4 linked regions of the Cricetulus griseus genome follow. The protein of the gene in region 3 purifies or fractionates together with the protein of the main gene of each other region. This does not show direct contact. Links are inferred from orthologs where the notes say so. Each region holds a gene or a part of one and is shown on either strand. Other genes may lie near its edges. The genes, in order: hsp70-binding protein 1, Fbxw7, Hsf1 and Ncl.

The links.
Region 1: the proteins of Hsf1 (region 3) and hsp70-binding protein 1 purify together in Homo sapiens (affinity purification with mass spectrometry; 5 studies listed by BioGRID and IntAct, counting the BioPlex papers as one, with this or other methods). This does not show direct contact. The link is inferred for Cricetulus griseus from reciprocal best matches to the Homo sapiens genes HSF1 and HSPBP1.
Region 2: the proteins of Hsf1 (region 3) and Fbxw7 purify together in Homo sapiens (affinity purification with western blotting; 4 studies listed by BioGRID, with this or other methods). This does not show direct contact. The link is inferred for Cricetulus griseus from reciprocal best matches to the Homo sapiens genes HSF1 and FBXW7.
Region 4: the proteins of Hsf1 (region 3) and Ncl purify together in Homo sapiens (affinity purification with mass spectrometry; 3 studies listed by BioGRID, with this or other methods). This does not show direct contact. The link is inferred for Cricetulus griseus from reciprocal best matches to the Homo sapiens genes HSF1 and NCL.

Annotation. Positions count from the first base shown.
Region 1 is NC_048602.1:23,310,899-23,318,238, forward strand, and holds the end of hsp70-binding protein 1, read right to left. Parts: intron 6,190-7,340; coding exon 6,034-6,189; intron 5,957-6,033; coding exon 5,860-5,956; intron 5,301-5,859; coding exon 5,189-5,300; intron 2,131-5,188; coding exon 2,056-2,130; downstream 1-2,055. UniProt on the Homo sapiens protein: Inhibits HSPA1A chaperone activity by changing the conformation of the ATP-binding domain of HSPA1A and interfering with ATP binding. Interferes with ubiquitination mediated by STUB1 and inhibits chaperone-assisted degradation of immature CFTR.
Region 2 is NW_023276806.1:69,437,245-69,444,336, forward strand, and holds part of Fbxw7 (F-box/WD repeat-containing protein 7), read right to left. Parts: intron 6,340-7,092; coding exon 6,226-6,339; intron 4,811-6,225; coding exon 4,629-4,810; intron 2,883-4,628; coding exon 2,657-2,882; intron 1,098-2,656; coding exon 887-1,097; intron 1-886. UniProt on the Homo sapiens protein: Substrate recognition component of a SCF (SKP1-CUL1-F-box protein) E3 ubiquitin-protein ligase complex which mediates the ubiquitination and subsequent proteasomal degradation of target proteins.
Region 3 is NC_048595.1:373,785,179-373,792,270, reverse strand, and holds part of Hsf1 (heat shock factor protein 1), read right to left. Parts: intron 3,055-7,092; coding exon 2,946-3,054; intron 2,578-2,945; coding exon 2,441-2,577; intron 2,183-2,440; coding exon 2,058-2,182; intron 1,388-2,057; coding exon 1,312-1,387; intron 1,239-1,311; coding exon 1,177-1,238; intron 1,055-1,176; coding exon 958-1,054; intron 853-957; coding exon 716-852; intron 603-715; coding exon 336-602; intron 1-335. UniProt on the Homo sapiens protein: Functions as a stress-inducible and DNA-binding transcription factor that plays a central role in the transcriptional activation of the heat shock response (HSR), leading to the expression of a large class of molecular chaperones, heat shock proteins (HSPs), that protect cells from cellular insult damage.
Region 4 is NC_048595.1:438,026,246-438,034,053, forward strand, and holds the start of Ncl (nucleolin), read right to left. Parts: upstream 3,965-7,808; 5' UTR 3,803-3,964; coding exon 3,785-3,802; intron 2,853-3,784; coding exon 2,736-2,852; intron 1,073-2,735; coding exon 580-1,072; intron 345-579; coding exon 156-344; intron 70-155; coding exon 1-69. UniProt on the Homo sapiens protein: Nucleolin is the major nucleolar protein of growing eukaryotic cells. It is found associated with intranucleolar chromatin and pre-ribosomal particles. It induces chromatin decondensation by binding to histone H1.

The sequences.
Region 1 (7,340 bases), on a different chromosome or scaffold from region 3:
GAGGATCCGGGGAGGCTCGCACAGGCGCCCGGGCCGGAGCTCGCGGCCCCGCGCAGGCGCCCTGCGGTCACAGGGAATCCCCCTGCCTCACCGCCCGATCGTCGACGAGCTCGGGGCTCCGCGGCCACCGGGGGGGGAGGCGCGCTCGTTCGTTCCACCGCCGGGCTCCGGGGCCGAGGCGCCGACGAGGCCTGGCGCGGGCGCCGCGGGCGCAGGGGCGACGGCGGGGGAAGGCGCCGCGGTTACACAGGGGCGCGGGGCGCGCCGGCACCGGGAGCAGGGACGAAAAGGACAAATCCCAGGCTCCGCGGCGCGACCCCGGGAGCCGACGGCCGTCTCGTCCACCTCAGCGTCCCCCGAAGCGCCTGCGGCTCCCCGGCCCGGCCCGGCCCGGCCCGTCCAGCTCCGGGCCTCCAACGCACAGCTAGCTCCGCCGCTGTCCCACAATGCCCCGAGCGCGGGAGGACCCAGCCAGGCAGGCTCCGCCCCCTCGCGGCGGCGCTCCGTGCGCAGGTGCGCCGCACACAGGCCGGCGCCGCGGGGGGGCGGGCCCGGCGAGGCGCGTGCGCGCTGGGCCCTCCCCCCGCGCCCAGGCCCCGCCCACCCCGGAACTCGGCGCGGCGGCCCGGCGCCCAGGCTCCGCCCGCTCCGGAACTCGGGCGCTGCTGCTGCTGCTGCTGCTGCTGCAGGCAGAGCTCGGTTTGCAACGAGCGCGTGTGCGCAGCCCGCTCGCCCGGAGCTGCGTGTCGGGCTCTCCCGCCCCGCGCCTCCACCCGAGCACAGTTCTCTCTCTCTGTAACAGCCGGGAGGAGGAGCCCCCCCCCCCAGCGCGGGGATCCCAGCTCTGAGCCTCAGTTTACCCCAACTGCAGCGCCCCCACCCTCCCCACCCCCGCTTTAGAGGTCGGCTGTAAGGACTATGGAAGAAAGCTTAGCTTTTCCTTCCTGGAGAGGAGCGGCAGATTGGTGGCAGCTTGTATTTCCGGGAAGTTCTATGGAGTCACGTTTGTGTGCCTTCTCTCGTCTAGTTGTTTTTTTGTTTTTTCCTTTCCCGCCTCTTTAATTCTCAGATGGCTTTAAATGGACCTCTTTCGCGGATTAACACCAGTCACTAATTTTTTTTTTTTTCCTGTCTTCTGCTCTGTGTGATCTAATTTATTTGTTGCTGGTGGCGTTCGCTTGATCCTCGTCGTTCTGTAAGAGACCGTCAGTCAGCTTCACGGAAGGGAATTGTTAACACTAGTCGTGCTCCCCGAGTCTCCTTGTCAGTCTGGGACCCTCCGTAAGGCAGTGTTACCCATATTCAGACTGGGTCTCCTCCCAAGTAAACCTTTCTGGAAACAGCCTCATAGGCACGCTGCATGTGTTTCCATGGAGATTCTAAATCCAGCCAACTGGACGGTGAAGACTAACTTTCACATAAAACTTCCTTTTCGGATGGAGGGTGAGCTGGTTCCATGGGTAAAGGTGCTTATTGTGCAAGCCTCAGGACCTGACAATTTAGAGCTGATTGCCAAACCCACGTGGTGGGACTGGAGAATCCACTCCCCACGTGCTCGCTGACCTCCACCCTTATCAAATAAGCAAACGTGTTTTGTTTGTTTGATTCTATACTGAAAAAAGAATGGGATGGTCCCAACACAACAAAGGCAGCAAGATAAAAGGAGACAACAGTTCCGAGCAACGCTTGTATAATCCCTTTAGTGACCACCCCACCCCCACCCCCAGTCCTCTAGGCTCTGCCCCTCCCTCCCACCTTCCATAAGAACCTTCCAGGAAAAGCAAGACAACACATGGGAAGGGCAACAGGAGAAATGCTTTTATTGGAAGAGCAGTGTGGACATGACCAGAAAGGGTGACAGAAAGCAAGGCAGGGGAATCCAAAGGGCCAGCACCTTTCTCGGCACCCCCTCCAGGGGGCTGCCCAGAGATGGGCTGGCAGGCCCAGGCCCAGGCCTGAACAAGGCCTGGCAATCCCTTGGGAGAGGATGCCTGGGAAGGAGGGAGGCAGGAGGCCTGGGGTTCCCACGGAGAGAATGCAAGAAGCCACCTGGTCTCACCGATCCATGCTGTCGTCGGTAGGGCTGGAGAAACATGTCTGTAACAGCTTTTCACAGAACTCCAGCTCCTCCTGGACAAGGAGAAGAGAGAGATCCTGAGCACAGAGGCAGACCTGCCTCTGGGACATTCATTCAGCGGCCACAACAACCCTCTCTACTGGCTACCACCAGCCCACTCCAGTAGCCACTGGGCTTTCCGAGTGACCACTGCTCAGATCAGGCTCACTTGCCCCCCCCTGCTCATAGGTCCCTGAGCTTTCTTCCCAGAGACAGCCTGAGGCCTCCCAAACTGGTCTGTCCTGGAATCAGCCCCGTGACTCTCATATATCCACCCCAGGTAAAGGTGCTGAGCACTAAGCCTGAGGATCTGAGTTTAATCCCCACAACCCATGTTGTGGAAATTAAGAACCGGCTCCCACAAATTGTCCTGTGACCTCTACCTGTGCACCACAGCACACGCATGCCCCCCCCACACACACACACATAATAAATAGATGAGGGACTCAGAGGTTAAGAGCACTAGCTGCTCTTCCAGGGATCCTGAGTTCAGTTCCCAGCACCCACACGGCAGCTCACAACTGTCTGTAATTACAGTTCCAGGGGATCTGGCATTCTCAAACAAATATACATATAGTAGTTAAAACACCAATGTACACAAAATAAAATAAAAATAGATTGTTGCTGGGCAGTGGTGGTGCACGCCTTTAATTATCCCAGCACTTGGGAGGCAGAGGCAGGTGGATCTCTGTGAGTTCGAGACCAGCCTGGTCTACAAAAGTGAGTTCCGGAATAGCCTAACCCTGTCTCAGAAAACCAAAAGATGATGATGACGATGATGATATAGATGAATGTAAACATTTTTGGTTTGGGTTTTGGTTCTCGAGACAGGGTTTTTACGTAGCTCTGGAGCCTGTCCTGGAATTCACCCTGTAGACCAGGCTGGCCTCAAACTCACAGAGAGCCACTTGTCTCTCCCTCCCGAGTGCTGGGATTAAAGGCGTGCGCCTCCATCACCCATCAAATGTAAACATTTTAAGCTGTATTTTTATGGGGATATGTTATGTCAGTATGTGTACATTCACGTGCACGCATGTGTGAAAACCGGAAGTCCCCAGAAGCCACCCACCTTGTTTGCGTGTGTGCACGTGTGTGCAGGTATGAATGCATGTGTGAGCGTGCACGTGGGTGTGGACATTCAGAGGTGAACCAGGATCGCCCTCACCCACTCTCCATCTGTTTCTCATTTCCTGTTGAAGGACGGTCTCACAATGTAGCCCTGGGCTGGCCTGGAACTCACTAAGTACATCCAGTTGGCCTCAGACTCACAGAGATCAGCCTGCTTCTGCCTTCCTCCCCAGTGCGAGGGTTCAAGGTGTGCACCACCATCCATATTTTTTGAGACAGTTTCTCACTGAACCTGGAGTTCACTGATTCTACCTAACTGGCTACACACAAGCCCCAGGGAATCTTCTCTCTTTGGCTCCTGAGTGCTGGGATTCCCTCCACGTGTGTACCTGGGATTTGAGCTCAGCTCCTTGTGGCAAGCACTTTGCCAAATGAGCCATGTTCCCTGCCTTAAAACCTGTTCTTATAGCAGTGTTTGTAGTAGTGAAAAACTGAGGACAAGCCACACCTCCTTTAAGAGGCAGCTACCTCAGGGTTTCAAGTTTGAGACTACTTTGAGCTAACACTGTGAGAACCTACCTAAAAACTAAATAAAAAGAGGCCGTTGAATCAATGAGGCCATGAAGCTACCCACACTCCACACAATAGAGCAATAATAGAAGAGAAAACCTAACACCAGGAGTCAAAATAAACCTTCCCTGCTGGGCACAAGGGTGGACGCCTTTCACCCCAGCACCGGGCCTGGAAGGATCTCTGAACGCCAGGCTGGCCTCCACCCACGGAGATCTGCCTGTTGGTCTGTGCGCCGGTGGGTGGTGGGCACCTCTGAGGGGCCCTGGGATTCTTCAGCTCAGGGTCCCCTGGGAGATAAATGCAAGTGCAACATGCAGGGGCCTCCTCCCCTCCACGTGCTCCACCTGACACCAGGCCAGCCTGGGCTGCAGCTCCCCGTGCTCCATGCGGCTCCTGCCTCTCCTACTTACAATATCCCTCTGTCAACATCGGGGTGTCCAGAGAGGCAGGGGTGCAGCAGGATGGACACCACTGCTGCACTTTTGCCGGGCCTAGCTTTGTTAAAAGTGGCAGCACCGGAGCCACAGGGAATTCACAAAATGAAGAATCAAGGCTGGCGGGGTGGCCCCGAGGGGGTAAAAGTGCCGACACCCTGACTTTGATCCCTGGGGCCCACATGTCAGAAAGTTGTCCTGTGTCCTCCACATGAACACACTCATAGGCTGGGGGATGGCTCAGGGCTTAAGGGCACGTGTTGCTCTTGCTCGGGTCCTCAACTCAAGTTCCCAGCACTCACACCAGGCAGCTCACAACCATCTGTAATTCCAGCTCCAGGGCTTCCAATGCCTTCCACTGGCTTTCAAAGGTACCCCACAAACATACAAACACAGACATGTAAGTTAAAAAAATTTCTTTTTTTTTTTCATTTTTTGGAGACAGGGTTTCTCTATGTAGCCCTGGCTGTCCTGGAGCTTTTTCTTTGTAGACCAGGCTGCCATTGAACTCACAGAGATCCGCCTGCCTCTGCCTCCCGAGTGCTGGGATTAAAGGCGTGCGCTAACAACGCTGAGTTATCCATTCTTATCTACTTAATTTATTCACCTATTTAGCTGGGTGTTGGTGGCGCACAACTTTAATCCCAGCACTCGGGAGGCAGAGGCAGGCGGATCTCTGTGAGTTCGAGGCCAGCCTGGTGACCAGAGCGAGTGCCAGGATAGGCTCCAAAGCTACACAGAGAAACCCTGTCTCAAAAAACCAAAAAAAAAAAAAAACAAACTTGATATTTAAGGGTGTTTATCATTTTTGTGGTACATAATAGCTAATCAGTTTATCATTTTTAACCAGTTTATAAAATAGTTCTCATTCCTGACTGAGGTAGCATGCGGCCCACAGTGTTTGCTAATGGGAGAAGACACAACGGAGAGAGAAGGCAGGGACAGACGGAGCCCACTGGCCCCAGGGCAGGCACGGACCCCACCCCCGCCCTTCTACCTGGTACTCCTCGTGCTGCTGCAGCAGCTGGCAGCGGTGACGGAGCAGCTCCTCCAGGCCCAGCTCAGGCTCCCGGCATTCTCGCACACCCTGGGGAAAGTCCGTCACTAGGCTACAGGAGGACATGAGAGCAGACCTTAGGACCCCATCAGCAACGAAGACCCCAGCCCAGCTCCAAGCCCCCCTCCACACTGATCCTGCAGGAGCCAAGGTACACCACGGCCCTACAGTGGGTCTTGGCTCCCATCTGTAAAACTGCAGCTGCTGTACATTGCTGCGGGGAATATAAAGTTTAGACGGGGCCTGCCATGATGTCTGTCTGGCTCCATCATGCTGCGGGTGTGGCTAACCTTTGGGCGCTGTGACATAGCGTTGTCATCTATAAAGCTCATGCTGGAGAATGGTATGGTTGAGTTATTTTAGGAAGCATTCATAGAGACCCTGGGCACATGTGGTCCAAGGCCTGCTGGTTGACAAAGCCCAGAACCCCAATTTGTTTACCCTGTGGGAACCATAAGAAGGGGTTCCCGCCCCCAAGCATTGTGATCTCTGCTATTCGCTGGCCTGCACTCTTCATCTAGTGCTCCAGGGCAAGAGCGGGCTAGTGCCTGTGCGGCTCTTGCTGTTGAGGACGCCATCCAAGGCCCCCTCCTCCTGGGGCCCCAGTGTACCTGCACAGGGCTCCAAGCACATGCTCGTGGAAAGGGCTGTGGTCTGTCCTCACAAGGGCCACCAGCTGCTGGACCATCCCCATAGAGCAAAGGGTTCCTGGGGGGAGAGCTGTGGGAGTCAGGAGGAAGGCTCCCGTAACACACCCCCCACAAGTCCCTCTCGGGCCACCTCACCTTTGTGCTCCGGGTGGCCCACCAGCAGGTTCTGCAGCAGGAATGCCGACTTGACCTTGAGTTTCTGCACGTGCTGCTGCATAGCCCGCATGAGCACAGAGAAGCCATCCAGGCGGAGGAACTGCAGCAGCCCAGCCTCTTGCTCTCGGACGAGACCTGAGGGAGGGGCAGAGCTCTGAGGTCCCAGTCACCATGGCTGCCACCATCACTATCACCACAGCCACCAACACCACTGGCATCATGACCATCACAGCTTCCAACAGCACCCACCCGTGTCTGTGTGTTGTGGAATCATCTTTTTGTACACTGTGAAGGTGTGTCTTTGCCAAGGCTCCTGATTGGCTTAACAGAGCTAAATGACCAATCGCTAGGCAGGAGGCATGGGTGGGATTTCTGAGGACAGAAAGGAAGAGAAAGCAATCTAGGCATGCAGGAGAAGCAAGACACATGGACGAAGCAGGCCGGGCAGGACGGAGGTAAGGTAAGAGGCCACAAGGCAAAACACAGGTTAATGTAAACGGGTTAATTTAAGCTACAAGAGCTACTGGGAGAAGCCAAAGCTAAGGCTGAGCTTCCATAACTAATACTAAGTCTCTGCGCCTTTATTTGGGAGCTGGCTGGCAGGACAAAGACTTGTTAACAACTATTATCATTGCCATTGCCACCATCAGCACCACCATTCCTCACCACCATCAGCACCACAGCCGCCATCAGCACCACAGCCACCATCAACAACACCCTATCACCGTTGCCATCACATTCCTAACATAACCACCGTGAAGCTGCCACCCGCACCACCACCACAACCACCCCACCATCACTTCAGCCTTCAGTACCATCGCCACCGCCATCACTACCATCGCGAGGCACCGTCAGAGCCACACCGCCACGGCCATCATACAGAGTTCACCACCACAGCCATAAAGTTCACCCCGCATGGAACTCGGGGGTTTCCATATGGCACTAAGCAGCCATCACCACCACCTCACCCCAGAACACGGACATCACGCTGGTGCCCGCTCCCAGTTCCCTCCTCTGGCCTCTGCCAACACGGGTCTACCGTCTCCCGCTGTGGATCTGCTGCCCGGGTACCTCACATGGATGAACTCACTCAACCAAATGTTTACGGTCCATCCGTGTTATAAATTCTGAGTCTTCATTTCGTCTTACAATAGAGCAGCATTCTGTTGTAGGAACACACACTTCCTACGCATTGTTACTTTTAACTCTTCACAAACACTTTCCAGGTACAGGTGCTCTCCGGTTCCCATTTTACCTATTTGCTCATTCATTCATTCATTCATTCA
Region 2 (7,092 bases), on a different chromosome or scaffold from region 3:
TTGCACATTTAGAAACCTTGTTGTAGTTTAGGACCAGCTTGGATGTTAAAAAACAAACAAACAAACAAACAAACAAACAAGAAACTGGTAGCTATTTGTACTGAAGCATCAACTTTCAAAGTCTGTCTCCCAGTAAGTCAGGTGAACTACCAGACATCTATTTTGTTCTCCATGAAGGACAGCTTTCATGAAATGACACAGCAGTGCAGCTTCATACATTCTACTGCTGGAAAAAATTAATGTGACAGATCTGTCACTCTGCCACTCTGAACTGACCAGTCAAAGAAGAAAACTGAACTTACACTATCCCCAAATTCCCAGGGACAGTCAAAATTAATGGACAAAGGCCACCACATGATGCCCTCAGATGGCTCCACTAAAAACAAACAAACAAGCCTTCTAAGGGTGCATTTAAATATCAAAAAGTGTATCATGAAGAATCCAATGGCGCTGTGCCTCCAATATTAACCTTCTCACGTGTCTCTTTATCTCAAAGGGAACTATTAATCCTTCCCATCCCAGCTGAAGCAGGTGGTTAAGTGGAAGCCAAGGTAATTTCCTATCAGAGATGCTTCAATTCAAAATATAATGATCAGTCAAAAAAAAAAAAAAAAAAGTATTGGTTCTGTGAGACAGCCAAGTCTTTCTTCTCATTGTTAAGGTTAAATAGAGTCGACTGAACATGCAGGAAATGAGTAAGAATTTTCACATTAAAGACACAATTGAAAACCATTTTTCAAGGTGGCCTAGTTTTGAAAGCCAAACATTCATAAAGTCATCAGGAGTAAGTACTCTGCATGAGGTTAAATCTTTGCCCTACACAGGTTCTCTCTTGAATAGCAATGACATTTTGAAAGAACATGGCTGAAGGAGGATTAATACTTACCTTGCAATGTTTGTAAACACTGTCCTGTTTTGATATCCCAGATTTTAACTGTAGAATCTGCATTCCCAGAGACAAGAATATTGTCTTTGAGTTCCATTCCACTTGTTAAGGACTGGTGTCCTGTTAATGTGTGAATACAATTCCCTGTCTCCACATCCCAGACTCGGATTGATGTATCTAGAGATCCACTCACCACATGGATGCCATCAAACTACAACAGACACAGTGTATTAGAACAGAAACATGGATTCCTTTCTATCAGCTGGTAGACCTTCCTCACAATGGGGAGGGGGCTACAGCAACATGTAAGGCCAGAACAAAGAGTGCATTGGGATAAACTCAAAGGTAAGCAGATGTACATGCCATTATGCCAGCCTACGGATCATGTCTCCAAAATATTTTCATAAATTATCTTAAAATTAAAAAGAAAACCAAAACAACAACAACAAAAAAAAGGAAACTGAACAAAACTGCCCAATAGTTCAAAAAGAGGAAGAAACAATTTCAAAAAGAAAAGGAAGAACCTGAAAGGACAGCATTCCTTTCAGATCACCTGGTCCCAGCTGGAAGCTATATTGCATGTATTCATCGAGAAAGATGAGTCTGACTTGCCATAGGAAGCCAAAGTCAGAGCTTGAGTTTTAAAAAAGCCATGCCTATCAGCACCCAAGGCATGGGAAGGGCCACAGATAACTTTTGTGATGCTCAAAAGTAAATTCCATTAAAAACTGTTTGTAGAATGAAGTTATTTACAACAACTTATTGCTAATTAGAAAATTAGTAAAAGAGAGCTGTTATCAGGAATTAGAATAGGAGGCATTTTAGTAATAAAAGCAATGTAGCCCCTCTTTTCAGCTTCCCAAGGACACTGAAAGCCAATAAACATCTACCAATCCCCAGGAGGTATATCTAATACCTGACTATATATTCTGAGGTCTTCTCTAAGGTTCTAAGCACACAAGTAGCAAAAGCAGTGGCAGCCAATCTCCTCCCCTTGGAAGCCATCATCTTTTTTAAAGTAATCAACATCTTTATCATATATCAATATTTCATTACCATCAGTTAAGAATCAAATGCCCCAAGAACAGCAAGGTCAGCACTGGGATTCTGTTCTACTTGGCTGATCACTAACAGGCAAGTAACTGGGAAGGGAATTATGTAACAGGAAGTTTTTAAAAATGGAAAATGCTGCATTTCCAGAAATAATTTCAACCCACGCTTTATGTCTAGTTACTGAAGCTTTTGAAATATTATAATCTATTAATAAACATCATGTTCAAATATAAGGAAATATAACAGGTTAGTCAGATTCACCTTTTTATGGCCCCAGTCAATGGCCCTGGGCAACTATGTAGCTTTCTGCAGAGAGTCTCCACGGCTACTTTAAATGGGGATAGAATCACAATTACACGGCCCATCAACTTTTAGTTATCAAGGCAAAGGGGCAGCTTTTGGCCAAATTAATCCTCAGCTAAGGAGTTTATTAAGATCCAAGTTATTCTCCTATGAGATTATCTATTAATTAATGTGGCAAAATTTACAGCCCTGAAGTATCAGGTTTTAAGACAAATATTTGCATTTTAAAGAGAAAATGGATCATAGAAATCGAAGCCATTAAATCAGCTAAATGATTTTGAAATTTATTGTTTTCTTCATGGTAATTTTAAGGTATATATAAACAGCAACTTGACGGTAACTAGCTGAAAAGAAAAATCTTATGAGTCATCACCAGAGCATCTAGGGGTGTGGATGGGTGAGACAGCTTCTTACCTGTAATGAATAGACTCTATTAGTGTGTCCCTGCAACGTGTGTAGACAGGTCTCAGTCTCTGGGTCCCACACCTTCACCATAAAATCATATGCTCCACTAACAACCCTCCTGCCATCATATTGTACACAGCGGACCGCTGCTACATGACCCATCAAGACATGTAAACACTGGCCAGTCTCAATATCCCAAACCCTAAGAGTGGCATCTCGAGAACCGCTAACAACTCTGCAGAGAGGAAACAGAAAACAAGGTATTAGAATTCTGAAGAGCACAAATGCACATAGCCTGCAAAACAGTGTTCGCTTTCTCTTCATAAACAGAACAGAAACACTTTAACAAGAATCACTACCCTAATGCCTTCAGATATAAATTCAAGTTACTCTGCCTGGAATGGGAAGTGAGGAAGACTAGAAGTCCATGACTTAAGGAAACAACCTCACCCTATTCAAGAAGCAAGCAGCTCTCCATACATACAATTTATCTTGATTAGAAGTGAAATGGTAGCATGGTACACGCAGCTCAACCCTCAATGCAGAATTAGGTGGTATTAAACTTAGAACAATCCAGAACTGTTTTTAATATCTTTGTCCTTCCATTACATTTCAATTATGAACTCCTATTACCTATTTGAGAAAGTAAACTTTTCAATATGATTATTTTTCAAAAAAAAAATTTTACATTTAATTTGGGTCTCAGAAAACTAGGGCTGTTTTCTTATACTTCCCATGCAGGGAATGCGGTTTCAGATATGTGCTGATACAGATTTTTAAAGATATTCCTATAGAAGTAACAGAAATTGGCTCAATGTTATAAAATTATACTGTTCTAAAAAGAGGAGTGATACAACCATGCAGTTACCTCTGGATTGCTAACCAGGTACCTTTATGTCACATTCCCAAGAGATAAAAGTCAGTCTCTGTATTTGGAAGAGTGGAATGATTAAGTGTGGGAAAATGAATGCAACCAACATGGAAATGCAAGGTCTCTTGAAACTCATCCCTTAAATTTTAATCACACAACACACTGTGCAAAGTGGTTCAAATTGAAAGTAAAAAGGAGTCCCTGTATATATATCACACCTGCAGGGTACAGCCTACTTACCAAAACAGTTCTTAATAGATAAAGCAGCATGGACAGAGTTACAGGTCATGGCTGCTCTGCTGTGAACTCGTTATAATGATTCTTCTAAGATACATTCTTTTAGAGGAAGGGTCTCCTCTAAAAAGCTGTGACTTCAAGGATTCTCCTGTCTCTATCTTTCCAGTGCAAAGATTAGCAGCATGTTCTCATATCAGGCCAAAAGAATATTTTTTGACAAATGAAGTAGAAAACACAATTTTTTAGCTAGGTGCAATGAAGATGTGTCAACAGAAGGACATGATTGTAGCAGAAGACACTGCAGGTAAGATACAAAGCACCAGGCAGAGGCACCAGGAAAGAATGGACTAGCAGGCCAGACGTGGCTGAAACAATCCTAATACCAGAGCTCTCTGCCAGCTGTGCAAAAGTCAGGACCTGAGATCTCTGCATAGTTCAGATGACAGGTAATGAGAAAATAAGTGAAAGCCCTGGACCTCAGTGTTTGTTCAGATCTAGGGACATGATGGAGTGGGGGCAAAGTGGGTGGGTCACTCAAGGATTCAGGCTAATGTCGAAGTGACTGAATTTGTTGCTCCTACATATGACTGTCAAGAAAGAAAATGATTTTTTTGAAGATGATGAGTCACCAAACGAACAACAAAGGGGATTAGAGAGCTGAGCGTCAAGAAAAATGATTGTACAGTCATTGAATGAAAAAGAAAATTTTAAGACAATCCTCCAATTTTAAGCCAATATAACCTGATTTTACTAACTAAGGAATATTGCACTGTAATCATTAGTATCAACTTTTGGAGCTCATTAGCACTATTTGAATCTCAAATTCACAAGTAACAGACGTGAAAGTCCCCATCATAATGGGATTTCCTTTACCTTTTTTCATGGAGATGCATACAGCGTACAGTGGAAGTGTGCCCATATAAAGTATGTATACACTCTCCAGTCTCAGCATTCCATACTTTGAGAGTCCGGTCAGTGGATCCACTAATGATGATATTGTCTCTCATCTGTGATGACCATACTCCACCTGTGTGTCCCACTAATGTTCTTAGACACTGAAAAAACACTTCAGATGATTAATTTTAGGTAGAAATGAAAGCAAGTCAAAAAATATACTAACATCTCATTAGAATCTGGAATAAAGTCTTACATATTCAACTTTATTAGATCACCAGGAAAGCATCTACACATCGATGCTACATGACACCATTATTACCGAATTGTTTATTTTGTAGCAGTATATGCTTATGCATGCATAGCAAACATGATATGAAACAGACAGGACTGGAGAGATGATGGTTCAGTGGCTAAGAGCGCCAGCTGCTCTTTCAGGGACCTGGGGTTTGAGTCCCAGCACCTAGTGCCTTACAACCACCTATAACTCCAATGCCAGGGAATCTGATGCCCTCTTCTGGTCTCTGAGGGCACCTGGCATGTATGTGGTACACACACACAAACACAAAATAATAAAATGAAGTAAAGAAATTTAAGAAGAATCATTTGATACAAAGCATAAGACATGGCAGAAAGCAAACATAATGTAATACAAGCAAGTTCAACAGCTCTAGCCTGACCACTATGATTAAATAATATTAAAACTGCAAAAGGGTGCCTCCCATGGAGGAGAACCAAGGCAAGAATGCCAAGAGAGTTGGGTGTGGCCACATACCACAGTGCATCCGTCTGCCTTAAGGCAGTAGTTAGGGGCTGGCCATGCTACTCTAGACATGTAAAGACAGACACTGAGACTCTGAGATAAGTCCAAAACTAGTATTATATCCTGGAAACGTGTAGCTGCTCTGAAAATTTTAACATCTGCTTTGGGTATTTATAAGAGTCTTGTCCAAGGAACAACACAGCGAAAGACATTTTTTTTTAAAACATACTGTCTTCTTTTACCTTTTAAATGATTGATTACTTAATTCATAAAAAAAATTCTCCTTTGGACAGATAAAGTCAATATTCACTAGCGACTCATTAAGGAATGCTATGTGAAATAAAGCTACTGCTTGGCTCTTCAACCCAGTATTTAAAACCTCCCCTGCTTCATTTCCTTACCATTCAAGTCTGAGACAACTTTAGATTAACAGGATTTACTTGATTTCTAAATTATAGATAGCTCAGCAACAAAGCAGTCTACAAGGAAAATTACAAATCACTCAGTCATATTTTGGAAGACGTTAGGGAGCCATGATGGGAAAGGTGAGACGGAAGCTCAGAGAAGAGGGGCATCTGAGAAATCTTAGAATATCTAAGGAAAAAGACAACAAACTATTTAAATGAAGAAAACACCACTGCCACCATGCCAAAGTGACATAACCACAGGAAGAAGGACCACATTTCTAAAGACATTTTGTTATTTGTTATCAAATATTTGTTATCAAAACAGCTGAGGATCCAACACCCCACTTTACTGTGACTGCACACACAAAATGGTGACTCATAGAAGTATGGAAAGAAGTGAACTTACTTTGCCCGTGACTGCTGACCAAACTTTTAAAGTGTTGTCATCAGAACCACTAACTATGCGGTTACCACAAAACTGTAGGCATGTGATCACATGATCATCATGCCCTTTCAGCACCTATAAGAAAAATGTACACATCACATGTATGTTATTACAACACATTCTTTAAAATACAGTGAAGTGCTACAGAGATGGCTCAGACATACAGGACCTGGGGCCAAATCCCCAAAACTCACATAAAAACTGGGCAGAGCTACACACAGGCCTGTAACCCCGACACTGTTAGTATGGACACAGGAGAACTGTTGGAGCTTATGGCTGCCAGCCTAGCTCTAGGATCTGTAAGATACTCTGTCTCAAGTAAGTCATACAGAGAATGAGAACAGGAAAGCTACCAGCCTCCTCTGGCCTGTGTGTGTGCGCATAGGTACATGCAAGGAGACACAGACACACACAGACACACACAGACACACACAGACACACACAGACACACACACACACAGAGAGAGAGAGAGAGAGAGAGAGAGAGAGAGAGAGAGAGAGAGAGAGAGAGAGAGAGAGAGAGAGAAAGCAAAAAATGAACTGTGTGTCAGAACAGTAATCTGTAATCTGTTTTTAGAAAGAAGAAATTTATATAAAATATACAGCACATCCTGGGCTACCAAGTGAGCTCCAGGCCAGCCTCACAAACCTCAACTCAAGATTAAAACAGAAGAAAAAGAGGTGGAAGAGGACAGGGCTCTGGGCTCAACTTTTAGCACTACAAAAAAAGAAAAATAAAACACCTAGAAACTGAGGAATAACAAACAACAGTTTTGTTTTTTTTTTTTTTTCAACCTAAAAAGTATGCTAGTACATGCTGTCATATAA
Region 3 (7,092 bases):
TCAAAGTTGGGCCCTGGCTCATCATTTCCTGTGTCAGGTCTAGGGAGAATGACAGATCCAAAGATCATGGGGGCTTGCCACAAGAGAAGGTGACGCCAGTAGTGATGGTGGCCCAGGAGGCAGGGGTATATTCCATTTCTAGTGATGTGGTTGGTCTCCCTCCCCAGCTTCAAGCTCACTCTCAGGTTTTGGGGAACAGATCTAACCCATCACTCCCAGCAAACTGTAGAGATTGTGCCTTACTATAAGACACAGATACCCTGTGTCCAGCCTGAAGAAATCTCGTGCTGTGGGGTTCAGAGGCTACAGGAAGGCAGGGTGGGTACATCACTCACTTGTCTAGGCAGGCTACGCTGAGGCACTTCTCAGGGGTAGAAGGGGGTGGAGCAGGGGCATGGACTCCGGTTGTGTCCACAGGGGCTGTGTTTGAGGCAGCAGGGTTAGGCTCGCTCTCTCGAAGGATGGAGTCAATGAAGGCAGTTGGAGATAAAGGTGTATCCATGGAGGATGGACGGCCAGGGCTTGCCTCCAGTACCCGAGGGCTCCGAGGTGGGCTGGGGGGCTCTTCCTTGACACGGATCAGGGTACTGCTGGACAGGGGCCTGAACATGTTAGAAGAAGCCTAAGTTAGCTCCACCCACTTCCAACTCTGCCCAGGGCCCATGAAGACTGGCCCACTAGGGTGATAGGGGGTATAAGGGTGATGAAGCCCCACCTCTCATCTATGCTCCTGCCTGGGGATGCCAAAGGGGTGGTAGGAGTCAGCTCAGTGATATCAGAGATTATGGGTCCAGAGCTGGTGACAGCATCAGAGGTGTAAAGGCTAGAGCTGCTGTAGGCTGGAGATGGAGCCTGCAATTAGAGACAAAGGCCACATGCAAGGCATACCTGTGGTAGCTTGGGCCACCCAGCACCCATGATACACTTACTGGAAGTCCCATGGAGCTTGATGCTTACTGAGTATGGGCCAGGACCATGGACATGCTCCAGGGAGTACTGTCGACCATACTTGGGCACAGAGTGCGCTGAGCTGCTGTCACTCAACATCAGAGGGCTGCAATGAAGAGACAGGTTAACTGCCTACACAGACCTTGGTGGTGCCCAGGATATACAGCAAGCAGAGGACACCAAGGCGCAGGGCCAGAGTGGACAGTGCAGGCATCCCCAGAGCCTCACATCTTTCTCTTCACCCCCAGGATCCGGTTCGACTGCACCAGTGAGATCAGGAACTGAATGAGCTGTGGGGCAGAGAGGATACAGTCACCCTGGCCCAGTCGTGGAGGGGACCCACCTACCACCAGCCCTGCCCACCTTGTTGACAACTTTTTGCTGCTGGGCATGCTTCTGCCGCAGGCTGGCCACCTCCCGCCACAGGGCCTCGTTCTCACTGCAACACAATGTTGGGTCAATTGGACCACATTTGAAGAGCCAGAGTCAGGTTGTTGACTAGTGAGGCAGAGCTAGACCAGATGAGGGCTCACTAGCACCACCCAGCTCTGCTAGTTCTGCTATACTTCCAGGGGAGGATTCAAGTGTCAGCCGGGGAAGGAGGCCATGGATAGAGCCTGATGGTACACTTCAGGATCCTAGCTGAAAGGGGGGCCACAGGACTTGTCACAAACTGGCTAGACATACAGAGCAGGGCATTGGGAAAGATACTAAACTGCTGAGTACCCTCAGGTTGGGGGTAAAGGGCAGCTGAGGACTGTGATGCCCTGTACTGAGTGATAAAGGAGGAGTAGGGGCCACTGGGAATAGAGAACAGTGGGGAGATCTGGCCCCAGGACTGTTCTGGTCAGCTCCTGCCAGCCTGGTTTTAAGGGAGGCACATGCAAGGAGGGTCTGTATGCTCAAATCCTGAAAATGTGGAGCCCAGCAGGGCAGTGAGAAGTGGGTACAGTAGGAAGTTCCAACTCTATTCTATGGAGATGAATAGGCCACAGTTTTTGCCACAGAAACAATGGAAGGCAGGTTGGGAAGGGGGAGGGAATCCTGAATGGCTCTGCACAATAAAGACCCAAAGCAACCTGGCCACCCTCCTGAGCCTTGGGACCTACTGTTTCATGGCCAGGAGCTTGGAATCCATACACTCCTGTTTCCCCTTCATCAGCTGCACATCCGTCAACAGCCTGGTGACACTGTCCTGGCGTATTTTTATGTCCTCACTCTTCAAGGTGGACACCTAAGGGTTGGGGCATACAAGAGTCTGAAGTGGCTCTGGAGTGTGGTTGGCTCTTGTGCTTCACCTGGAAATCTAAGGAGTGGGGAGAGTCTGGGAAACACTGGGAGGGGGAGGAGGAGGGGTTAGAGAAAGATGAGTAAAAGTACAGGCTATGCTTTCAGGCTAGTCTTGCAGCACCACCTAGCTACTACTCCCAGCCCATAGCCTGCAGGGAGATATGAGGACAGGGAGGGGCTGTACTCAGGGCTTGTGACTCACGCTGGTCACTTTCCTCTTGATGTTCTCAAGGAGCTGTTCCTGGCCACGCAGGAAACATGGATGCTGGAACTCGGTGTCATCCCGCTCAGGCTTGACCAGGCCACCGTGCTCAATGTGGACTACTTTTCGGAAGCCATCTGTGCATATGGGGGTGGGGCAGTTCTGCTTGAGGACCAGGAACCAGACCCCCAACAGCCTAGTCATAGCCTAGGGCAGGCAAGGGGCCTTCTAAAAAACTGTAGGAAATTCTGGCTGGTGTCCATTTACCATAGCTAGTTAATCATGGTTTGAAAAGACCTTGTCATTGCTCAGCTTCCTCTCTTGCAAATGGAAGTATAGCTACTAGGGTAGGGTCTCATACACTCTTTCTTCCTTGGGGAATTCAGGCTTACACCCACAAGGATCCTTCCTTAGCCAACCCAGGCTTTATTCTCTCAGCAATATGTTGGGGTCTGTTTCTCCACACCCTTGGGAAGGAGGCTACCATTCCACAAGAGGTACTTACACATGTTGAGCTGCCGCACGAAGCTGGCCATGTTGTTGTGCTTGAAGTACTTGGGGAGCACTTCCTTGGCAAACTGGCCCTGGTCAAACACGTGGAAGCTGTTCCCACTCTGTCAGGAGACACATGGGCATTCGATATATAGCAGCTGCTGCCATATTTCCACCATGGCCTGAAGCGCCTCTCCATCTCTCTCCAGAGAGAAGCAGGAGGGAGTTCAATCTTAGCACTCTATGGCTGCCATCCAGGCCATGGAGTCAGAGACAGGATCCTACTTCCTGGCAGTTTTCAGTTGCTAACTTTAGACTCATAGATCACCTACAGCATTCTGGTTGTCTCTAGGGACATTTAGCTTTAATCATTTAGCTTTAATCAGCAAATTTTTCCTTAAAAATAACAAAGATCAGCTGGGTGTGGTGGTACATGCCTTTAATCCCAGCACTTGGAAGCAGGGGCAAACAGCTCTCTGTGAGTTCCAGGCCAGCCTGGTCTATAAAGTGAGTTCTAGGACAGCCAGGATACACAGTGAAATCCTGTCTCCAAAAACAAAAGAATAGATAAAATGGAGATAGTTCAGTGATTAAAAGTTCTTATGGTTCTTGTAGAGGACCTGAGTTTGTTTTCCACCACCCACATGGCAGCTCACAGCTGCCAGGAATTCCAAGTTTCAGGTGACCTGATAATCCATTTTTGTTCTCTGTAGGTTTGAATGCATGTGGTACACACATATATGCAGAGACACACAGACATATCACACAGCTCTATGAAGCCAAATTGTGGCAACTAAAGAAACAGGAATGGGATTTCTGCTGCTGGAAGACAGTCCTGCTCAGAAATACCACTCTTTTTTTTGGGGGGTGGGGGGTTGTTTCGAGACTGTCCTGGAATTCACTTTTGTAGACCAGGCTGGTCCAGAACTTACAGAGATCTGCCTCTGCCTCCCAAATTCTGGGATTAAAGGAGCACGCCACCACTGCCTGGCTTCTTTTTAGAACTCAAGATTGTTGAATGCTACATGGCTGCACTTCTGGGCGTGTGCTCTCCTGAACACAGTCCAGAACCACAAGGAGGGGCAGAAGTGCCATGGCAACTCAGAGGCATTAGATCCCGGAGTGGGGAGGCCCCACAGTGGGGAGGGACAGTAGCGTCATGGATGCACAAGACAAATCAGCTAAGGAACAGGTCTCTTCGCTGGGGTGGGGGATCTATAATACAGGCAGGTAGAAAAAATGAAAAGGAGCCCAGTGGATTAGCACTGGGGCTGCTTTCCAAAATGCAGAGGAATGAAACAGGTCTAAACAGAAATAGTAGGGCAGGTGGAAACAGGAGGAAGAGAATGCAAAGCAGCAGGAAAAGCACTGGGGAGGCGGGGGGAGTATGGTATCAGGGAAAGCAGTGGGCTCTTTACATCACACATCCAGTCCCACTCTTCCCCTCAGCTTTGAAACCAGTGGGAGCAATGGCAGTGGGAACATGGGTGAGAGACAGCTCAAGGTCCTGGTGCTAGAGGTCTCTCCAAGCAAGGCTGGCTTTGCTTGATCTGAAGCTGACACAGTCCAGAGGCTCTTTAGAAACATGTAGAGGAAGATTTGAAATGGCTGCTGAGACAATGTATAACACAGGCTAGCCAGAAACCTTAAAAGGTGGTGAATGAGGGATCACTAGGGACTCTGAAATATTCCTGGGAATCCAAAGGCTATGCACACATTACAGCTGTTGCATGTTCAGGGGAGACCTAGGAGGGTCATGAGCTCACCCTCCGGCAGGAATGGGAAATAGGATATAAAGCTGGGTTGTTAACTCCCAGGCTATGTGTTAAAGATAGGAATCAACAGCCAGGCAGTGCTGGCGCATGCCTTTAATGCCAGCATTCAGGGGGCAGAGGCAGGTGGATCTCTGTGAGCTCCAGACCAGTCTGTTCTACATAGTGAGTTCCAAAATAGCCAGGGCTACATAGAGAAACCCTGTCTCAAACAAACAAGCAATTCACCTGGGGACTCAAGGAAGATGAGAACAGGGAGAAACGCATGTCAATAAGCACAAAAATAGGCCAACTGAGGTTACAGTTTGAAGACAGTGTGGTAGTTTGAGTAAGAATGAGCGCTGGGGCAGTGGTGATGCATGCCTGCGATCCCAGCAGAGGCACGTGAATCTCTGAGTTCGAGGCCAGTCTGGTCTACAGAGTAAGTGCCAGGATAGCCAGAGCTTTTACACAGAGAAACCCTGTCTTGAGAAACAAAACCAAAACCAAAAGAATGGGCCCCACAGGCTCACATATTTGAGTGCTTAGTCACTAGGGAGTGGCACTATTTGAAAGGAATAGAAGGGTTAGGAGTTGTGGCCCTTGGGGAAAATGTGCCACTGGGAGTGGGCTTGGAAGTCTCAAAAGTTCATGCCAGGCCCAGTCTAGTCGCTCTCGCTGCCTGTGGGTCAGGATGCAGCTTTCAATTACCCCAGTACCATAAATGCCACCATGTTTCCTCTCGTAAGTAAGCCCCCAATTAAATGTTTTCTCTTATAAGAGCCATGGTATGGGCAGGAGAGATGGCTGAGCAGTTAAGAGCACTGGCTGTTCTCCAGAGGACCGGGGTTCAATTCCCAGCAACGACACGGCAGCTCAAAACTGTCTGTAACTTCAGTTCCAGAGGACCTCACACAGATAAACATGTGGGCCAGACACCAGTGCACATTAAAAAATAAAATAAAAAAAAAGAGCTGTCATGGTCATGGTGTCTTCATAGCAACAGTGACTAGAGAGAGTGAATAAAAGTGAACAGAGTTTTAGAGGCCTACAACGCTTAATGGGAGGCTCAGAAGATGAGAATGGACAAATGACTATACTTATGAAAAATGATCAGGAACATACCAAATTTGATGTAACATCCAAAACACTAAATGAATTTCAAACAGGGAAAACTAAAAGGGATTCATATATGGTCACTTCATAATCCAAGAGAGGGCCTTGCAAGCAGCCAAGTCAGACAGACACATCGGCATAGATGGTGGATGGCCATGGATCAGTTGCAGGGTGAGGACTCCTATCCTTGAAGAGGAAAGGAAAGCCCCACTTCTGGGCCAGGAGTGTGGAGTTCTGGGAAGTGCTTCCTCTCCAGTGACACACACAAAGCTTGTTTAGATCATTTAATGTCTCTGAAATTGTTCCCAGGCATCAAACAAACAAGAATGACCAATGAAACCACTAAAACCCAATGGGTCAGTGAGCACCCATGGCATGAACTAGTCTCTCCCTGTCACTAAGTCCCCATATGAGATGCTGCACCCTTGAAAGTGTGGCTAAGTTGTGGGGACCCCTCTTCTCAATTCTGTCAAAGTTTAAGGATACTGGAAAGATGTGTATTCTCTCCAACTGTAGGTTGATGATACCTCATTCCTACTTGGAATGGTCCCCACCTCATCCACAATGCTCCCAGGTGGAGACTAATCCCAGGGGCGGAGAGAACCTGAACATTCATGTTGAGAGTATTCATCTGAGAAGTCCAGTAGCTATTGCCCAGTCACTTGCCCCGAGGGTTTGCCCACAGGAGATACAATCCATAAGGAAAGTGCTCTAGCTCCCTTTAGGTCAAACAGTGTTGGAAAGCTCAAGCCCCAGGGAGCACTGACAATATGGGAGCAGAGCTCCAGGCCAGCCTGCCCAGATAGGAAAAGGAAGCTGAAAAGAGCCCCTTGGGACTGACTGGACTCTGCTCTTGCTCAATGAACCCACCAAAATACTGCAAGCAAAAGCAGCCTGACAATCTCACTGCGGTCACAAATTTAATTGCTCTGACTGTCCAACAATATGTCCCCAGGCATTGTCTAAACAACAGCAAAAGCAGTAATTGCTGGTGCTTCAATGCTGGAGGTGACAACTGTGAGGCATTAGTGTCATCAAGGAGAAGCAGTCTTTCTGACAAAGTCTGGCCAAGTCACAAGCCAGCTGGACAGCTCGATGACTCAGCCCCGAGTCCCACAATACACTAGTGACGAAAAAAAAAAAAAGCAAGACCTACAGAAACTGTGAAGTGTGACTCATACACTGTGGACAAGAAGGAGCAACAGAAACTGCCCAAGAAGGACATGACAATAAATTTAATAAAAAGTATAATGTCGTTGTAAACATGCTTAGGGGATGGAGAGATAGATGGCT
Region 4 (7,808 bases), about 64 Mb from region 3:
TTGCTTCAGGAACTTCTTTCTGTTTGGTCATTTCCTTCTTCCGTTTTCCAGGTGCTGGTTTAACAGGCTCTGGATAAGATTTTTAGTGTCATGAGTAGGTAAGCACTTCCATTAAACATTACTGAGGTCAGTGTACCTCAATGTAATCTGCTTACCTTCCTCTTCTTCCTCTTCCTCCTCCTCCTCATCTTCTTCCTCTTCTTCATCCTCCTCCTCATCTTCATCCTCCTCTTCATCATCATCATCCTCCTCAGCCACATTCTTGGCTTTCACAGGAACAACTTTTGCAGGAGCTTTCTTTCCTTTGGCAGGTGTGATCTCCATAGCTTCTTCTTCTTCAGAGTCTGAAAGAGAGCTGGCTTAGTAAGCAAGGGCATTTGCTGCCAATCCAGATAACATGAATCTTATACACACTAAAAAAGTCTTAGAGAAATAAAATTCTGACAGCATGCTAAGTTATGGAAAGAACTATGAGCACAAAATGTGACTTTCTAATCTAAGCACGAAGTGGTCAGGAAAACTACATGCATTATTGTTGGCAAGATCTCCTAATCATCCTGCAAACAGAAATCCACCTACCATCCTCCTCCTCTTCATCCTCCTCCTCCTCCTCTTCATCCTCTTCCTCGTCTTCATCCTCTGAGGCAGGAGCAGCAGCAGCTACCTTTGCTTGTTTTCCTTTCACTACTGGTGGCTCAAATTCATCCTCTTCCTCATCCTCTTCATCCTCATCACTGTCGTCTTCATCATCGTCGTCATCGTCATCTTCATCACTGTCTTCCTTCTTAGCATTCTTACCATTCTTAGCCCCCTTGGCTGGAGTGACAGCTCCCTTTTTACCAGGGGTTGCTACCAATGCTTTTGCTTGTGTGGCTCCCTTCTTTCCAGGTGTTGCAACTGCTTTGGCTGGTGTAACTGCCTTCTTGGCTGGTGTGGCTGCTGCCTTTTTACCTGGAGTAACAGCAGCTTTCTTAGCTGGTGTGGGAACTGCAACTTTTTTTGTTTGTGAAACAACCACCTTCTTTGCTGGAGTTGCTGTAGCCTTCTTTCCTTTTTTCTGAGGGATGACAACCTTAAAAGTAAAACAAATAATAAGCACTTTCCGTATATCCAATGTTATTAACATACTGATACTAACTTTGAGCTCAACACTGGAATTAGGTATATGTTAAACCCTGGGGTGAAAGGGCTAGAGAGACGGTTCAGCAGTTAAGAGCCCTTGTTACTCTAGCAGAGGACCAACGGTCAGTTCTCAGCATCCACATGATGGCTCTAACTATAGTTCCAGGGAACCTAAGAGTTTTCTTCTAGCCTAAGTGCACCAGGCATGCTTAGTAGTACACTCATACAAATACAGATAAACACTCTAACCCTAACTCCAACACACTAAATCCTAAACCCTGGAATCAGAATACATGGCTTACAACTGCAGGTGCTTATCACACAAATACCCAAGTTTAAGAAACACTCATAAATGAAACTGGTCTCCAACTCCACCCCTACACATCAGCCTTAAGCAGAGTTATAACAAGTATGCATTTTATTTTCATTGAAAAATGTTCCACCAAAACCCAAATTTTGCTTATTACTAATATAGCTCTTCTAAACAAGAAATCTGAGCATAATGATTACATACCCCCAGCTTACCTGATTTCCAAGACTATCCCTACTTCTGCCTCCTGAAATTAATTAACCATGTCTTTAAATGAACCAACAAGTAGGAGTGCTAATAAGTACCAGATTCAGCAAACTGGTAAGTAGCAGCCTTCAATCCATATCTGATGTATTTTAAAAACTGACTTGCTCTATAAAAGCTTATATAATAGGCTAAAGCTTACTTTAGTGATAGGGATCAGCACTAAAAAACAAAACATGCATGACGGGAATAGGAGTAAAATAAATATAGTGATTCCTGAACTATTGAGACCCTGACTCCAATTCTCATCTAAATCAAAGCCCTAAGTTTCTTAACTAGCTTCATGCAATGACTAATGCCTTTATTCAGGAGAATTTTTGGCCAGACTGGTCTACATGTTGAGTTCTAAGACCACAAGGGTCATGTTGAGATCCTGATTCAAAAAACAAACAAACAAACAAAAAAAAACACCCGGGAATTTCTAGTCGTAATGTCCTTCTCACCAAACACCATGAAATCACGTGACCATGATCTGAATGAAAACAAATCAAACTGGATTAAACCCTGTTTTCCAAAAATGTAGGGAAAAATAACAGCCTACAATCAATATTCAATACAGCATGTGAAACCTGAGTGAAATTTACATCCCTCTCAAGTGGACTGTAATACTCTTATTTAACTACTCAATAGCAATAAAGAACTTGTCACTCAACTATTGTTATCATACTACTGTATTTTTTTTTTTGGTTTTTGGAGACAGGGTTTCTCTGTAGCTTTGGAGGCTGTCCTGGAACTCATTAAGTAGACCATGTGCGGCTTTGAACTCACAAAGATCCGCCTGCCTCTGCCTCCTGAATGCTGGAATCAAAGGCGTGCACCACAACCGCCCGGCTTTAGAATACTTTTATTAACACACATTCTATTTCTACATCTTTTTTTTTCTTTTTGGTTTTTGAGACAGGGTTTCTTGTGTAGCCTTGGCTGTCCCCGAACTCCCTCTGTAGACCAGGCTGGCTTTGAACTCACTAAAACTGCCTGCCTTCTACGTCCCTCTTGCTGGAATTAAAGGGAGGGCACCGCTGCCCTATTAGCTGTATACCTCTTCTCCACTGCTGTCATCTTCTTCATCTTCGGACATTTCTTCGTCTTCACTATCTTCTTCCACCTCTTTTGGAGGAGGAGCCATTTTCTTAGAATCGCCGTGGGTTTTGCCGGCCTACACAAGTGCACACAAAATCATGTCGATACCCTATTTGTAAGCCATTTTGCGTTTCGCCATTATCTTCTTTCTTAATGCCCACTGTCTATATTGTTAAAGGCCCTAAGCACAGGTGACATCATTGGCATTATTATATGTGGCAATCTTTCCTGAGAATCACCTATATAACTTGTCTTTCCCTTCCAGAGACAACTGAAGACAATCTACTAGTCATTCATTGCCCTTTGAATTTCACTCTAAATCATCTGCCGGGGCAGGGGTATCTATTTGGGTAGCCCCTTCTGGAGAGGAGCACGTCTTTCACAGAACCACTTCCGACGTCGCCACTCTGGAGGCGGGCCACGTGGAGGTACCACGCAGGCCACCACGCGCTCCCTCAGGTGTCCACCACGTGCTGGCCTGCCCGTCACGGACAGGCGCTGGGGATCGCCGGGGAACCCACCTAGCTCAGTCCCGCTGTCCCCCTCCCCGGTACCCCGCGACTCCCCGAGCCCGAGACGGGCAACACACGCAGAGCGCCAAAACCCACGTGGCGGGCCGCGCACCGGAGCACGTGCGCCAGGAGGCGGGGCCACGCCGGCGCCGGCCCACGAGTTGGGTCCCATCTCCCCTCGGCGGGCCTGTCGCCCCTTCTCCCCTCGCGGCGGCTCCGATCTCACCGCCCTACACACACACACACACACGCGCGCGCGCGCGCTCACACACACACACACCTCCCGGGACCCGCCTCGGCTCTCCCCCACCACCAAGTCAGGGGCCAAACACCGCGAGACCTCCCGCTAGTCGCGCGAGACTTTCCCCAGCATGGCGCCCTCGAACGCGCCCGGGATTGCGCGCAGGCCCTCCTCCCCTGAGCGACGCGCGCGCGCGCGCCCCTCAGAAAGCAGGCCCAGGCGTCCGTCCGCGTCGGCGCGCGCGAGGCCTCTCACCTTTGCGAGTTTCACCATGGTGGCGGGTTGCGACGACGGCGCGTGCGGCGAAGGGCGCAGCTCGGGAGAGCCTCGGGGAACCCACGCGAGCTGGGCGGCAGCGACGGGCACGGTGGACTCTGGAGCACGTACGAGCGACTGCCAGCTACAGCTAGCGTCTGAGGCAAAAGACTGAGCCTGCCCAGTAATCGCCTCTGGAAAGGCGACGACGGCGTCCTCGTGACCCCTCCTCCACCAACCAGAGCGCGCGTCCGTCCCCCTGGCCAACCGCGAGCCTTCAACCCAGGACGGCGTGGGGGCGGGGCTACGGCGTGGGGGCGGGTCCGCCGGGGGCGGGGCCTGACGGCAGCGCCCTGGGGGCGGGCCTAGCTCTACGCAAGGCGGACGTTGACTGGCTGGTGTGCGCGTCTTCTCGGCGAGCCCTAGCGGCTCGCCTTCGCCGCGCCTGCGCGGTGCAACGCGCCCGTTTGGCGCGGCTTGTGGAAGGGGCTCGGGGATGGCGGCGTGGCCCGGACGCCTCCTAGTGCTCGACTGCTACCTGGAGCTCCGGGCTCGCGTGGCCGGGGGGGTGGGGGGTGGTGGGTGGCCCGAGCATCCCCCGCGCTGCGGAAGCTGCGCCCCACCGTGGACTCCGCGGCGGCCTCAAGTGCTCGCCGCGCGTTCCCGCTGAGGAGCCGGAGAGCGCCGGAAGTTGAGGGCCTAGAGCCCACTGGGGCCAGCTCGCGGCCCTCGGCCTGCCCTCGGCAGAGCCGAGAACATCCCGGGGCTCTAGTGTTGCGCCGCGGGCCGCTGTTCTCCTGAGAGACAGCTCCCAATAAAGGCAGTTGCGTGCGTGTGTGCGCGCCTGTGTGCAGTGCTCAAACAGCTCGCTTAATGTCCAACCTCGCGCGGTAGATTTAACTCCTGATGGGGACGGTCTCGGAGAGGTGACTTCCTGGTGTGTGCTGGAGGAGTTTTTTGCCGGCCTGTGGCCACTCACGGTTTCCCTCAATGGCCTGAAGGACAGAGTTGCCGTGAGTGGATTAGACCTGTGTGTGGGACTTTGGGTTCCAGGCGTGGCATACTGGAGCCCTTCTAGGGTACCTCCTGGGCATCTAAAACCTAATTTTCTGCATAGTCAGGGTTCCGCCAACTGATGATATTGGTTGATAGATCACCTGTGGAGATTTTGTCGGGGATGTTGAGACAGGGCCTAACTATTTGCTCTTGCTGTCCTGGAGCTCACTGTGTAGACCAGGCTAGCCTCGACCTGCCTGCCTCACGCGTGTAGAGATTAATGCGTGCGCCACCACGCCTTGGCCCATCTCGGAAGATTTTAGTGCAAACAGGATGTGTTGGGTCCCACGTTTTCTATCTGAACACGGGTCTTTGGAGACAAGTAGAAATAGTTAATGCGTGATGCTTGTTACTAAGTCCTTCGCAACGCGGTGGAGGACACAGCTCCACGAAAATGCTCTATGGTCAGGGCATGAGGTGGGAACCAGTGCAGTGATGTGGAGGCTTTGTCTTTATAGAGACAGTGACAAGGGTCACACCTTGAGATGGACCCCAAGAGAGACTCCTGGGTAGAGGGACAGGAAAAATGATTGGTGTGAGCCAAGACCCTGGGTATTTCCAAGCAGAGGAGGCTAAAGGCACTTGGGAGGAGACAGGTGAGCTGTGAGATGACACAGATGGATCTCAGCAACACTGGCATGACTTCTCTTTTTCGATCCGATCTACCTGTATGGGGCCTTCCTCAGACCTCTGGTGTAAAGTGCCACTAGGAGACTCACTCTTGGACCCTCACTTATGCTCTTGGGTCGTATCACCTACCTAGTATTTTTCTTGGCTGTTTATTGTTAATTTGCCCTTTCCCCAGCCAGCCAGGAGAACACAAACTGTTGTCTGCTGTATTCCTGGTGCCTACAGTATTGCCTGGCACATAATAGTGTTAAAAGGTACTTGCTAGGGGCTGGAGAGATGGCTCAGAAATTAAGAGCACTGGCTGCTCTTGCAGAGGTCCTGAGTTCAATTCCCAGCAACCACATGATGGCTCACAACTATCTATAATGAGATCTGGTGTCCTCTTCTGACGTGCAAGGCATACGTAGAGGCAGAATGTTGTATGTGAAATGTGATTTAAGAACACAAGTAGTTAGCCAGGTGGTGGTGGTCTATTCCTTTAGTCCCAGCACTCGGGAGGCAGAGGCAAGTGATTCTCTTTGAGTTCAAGGCCAGCCTGGTCTCCAGAGCGAGTGCCAGGATAGGCTCCAAAGCTACAGAAAGAAACCCTGTCTCAAAAAAGAACACAGTTTAAGTGAAGCAGCAGCAAAAGGGACAGCTTGGTGTCGAGCCGTGTTACTGTGTAGTCAATCTGGTCAACAATACCTAATACACATGTGAAGCTTTCCAGGTACCAGACTCTATTCCAGCTCTTTGGAAATCTTAAATTCATAAATGTATCCAAAATAGGCTAAAAGCATCACTGCTCACAAACATGAGGACAAAGAGTCAATTTGTGCAGTCCTCGAACTAGTAAGGAGACAGGACAGGGGTGAGGTAGATGCCTGAATGCTGTTGCTCACTATCTGATTTTCTTAAGGTGGGGTCTCATGTATCTCAGGCTGTCCTTGAACTATTGATCTCTTTCATCTGCTTCCCAAATGCTGGTATTATGAGTGTGTGCTACCTCCCTTGGTTTTATGTGGCTCTGAGGATTGACCTTGGCTTTGTGCATGCCAGGCTAGCACTTAGCAGCTACCTCCCCAAGCTAGCAGATGCCAGGGATCCCCGTCTCTGCTCCCTCCACCCACCACCACTTAGCACGAGGGTTACAGTTATGTGCTGCCAGCCCATGCTTTTTACAGGGATATTGGGGATCTGAACTTGAGTCCTCATGTTTTTACAGCAAGCACTTTATCCACTGAGTCATCTTCTTGTCCCAAGGAGAGAGGACTGAAATCAAGACCAAAAGGCAAAAACAATCATGAGATTTCTAGGTTCCTTTCCCCACATTAAAGGCCCTGCTATTTGTTTACTGTGCACATCTCTTTTAGTTCCAGCTTTGATAGCATATCACATCTCAGTATGTTGTTTTGGTTTTTTTTCTTTTTGAGATAGTCTTGTTATGTAGCCCAGGTTAGCCTGGAAATTGTGTTTCTGCCTCTGCCTTCTAACCGTTGGCATTACAGGTGTGTTCCTCCTACACCTGGATTTCATCAAATACTAATTGAAAAATCGGTTATAAATAAACCACATAAGTAAGGTACAAAAGAGCTAGGTACAGTAGCTTATGCCTATCATCACAGCATTTGAAAGGGTGAGGCTGGAAAATTACCATGAATTTGAGGCCTGAATTTATAACCTGAGTAACTGAGTGTCAGGCCAGCCTGGGCTACAAAACAAGGCCCTATCTGAATGAATGAGCAAATAGCTGAGTATGGTGGTGTATGTCTGTAATCCAGTGCTTTTGGAGTACAATTACAGTGCAATCACCAGCACAGAGTACAGGAAAAGAGAGGGATGTTTTCTTTTTTGTGTGTGTGAGAAAAGGGGGACTTGGTTTATTAGTAAAGACCAATGAAATACAGAGTAATAAAAATTATCTTAGTGCTACCTGATACAATGAAATAGCTGACTTGGCTACTCTCTTAGCAAATAAAAACAGAGCTTCCAACCAAATAGATAACAACCGGGTCTCAGGTCGGTCAGGTCTCTAGGCAAGGACTTCAGCTTCAGTCATCTTCAAGGGGTATCTCCTGTGTTTCTCCTAAACCATCTTCAAAGGAGATCATGTCTACACTGCTGCATCCAGTTTAATAATTCTGCACATCAATCCACTGTGGAGCCGTGTCATGGGAAGTTAAGAGGGGAAGACAATGCCATAAATGATTTCAGTTCATATTGACACTGGCAAGCCTTGGGACTTAATGTCCTTGATCTTATTACATGCGGTCACAGGACACCTAGGCTGTGAACCTAAATCTGAGAGGGATGTTTTCTTAACTCCAGAGGATTGGCCTGTGTGGTGATGCATGCCTTC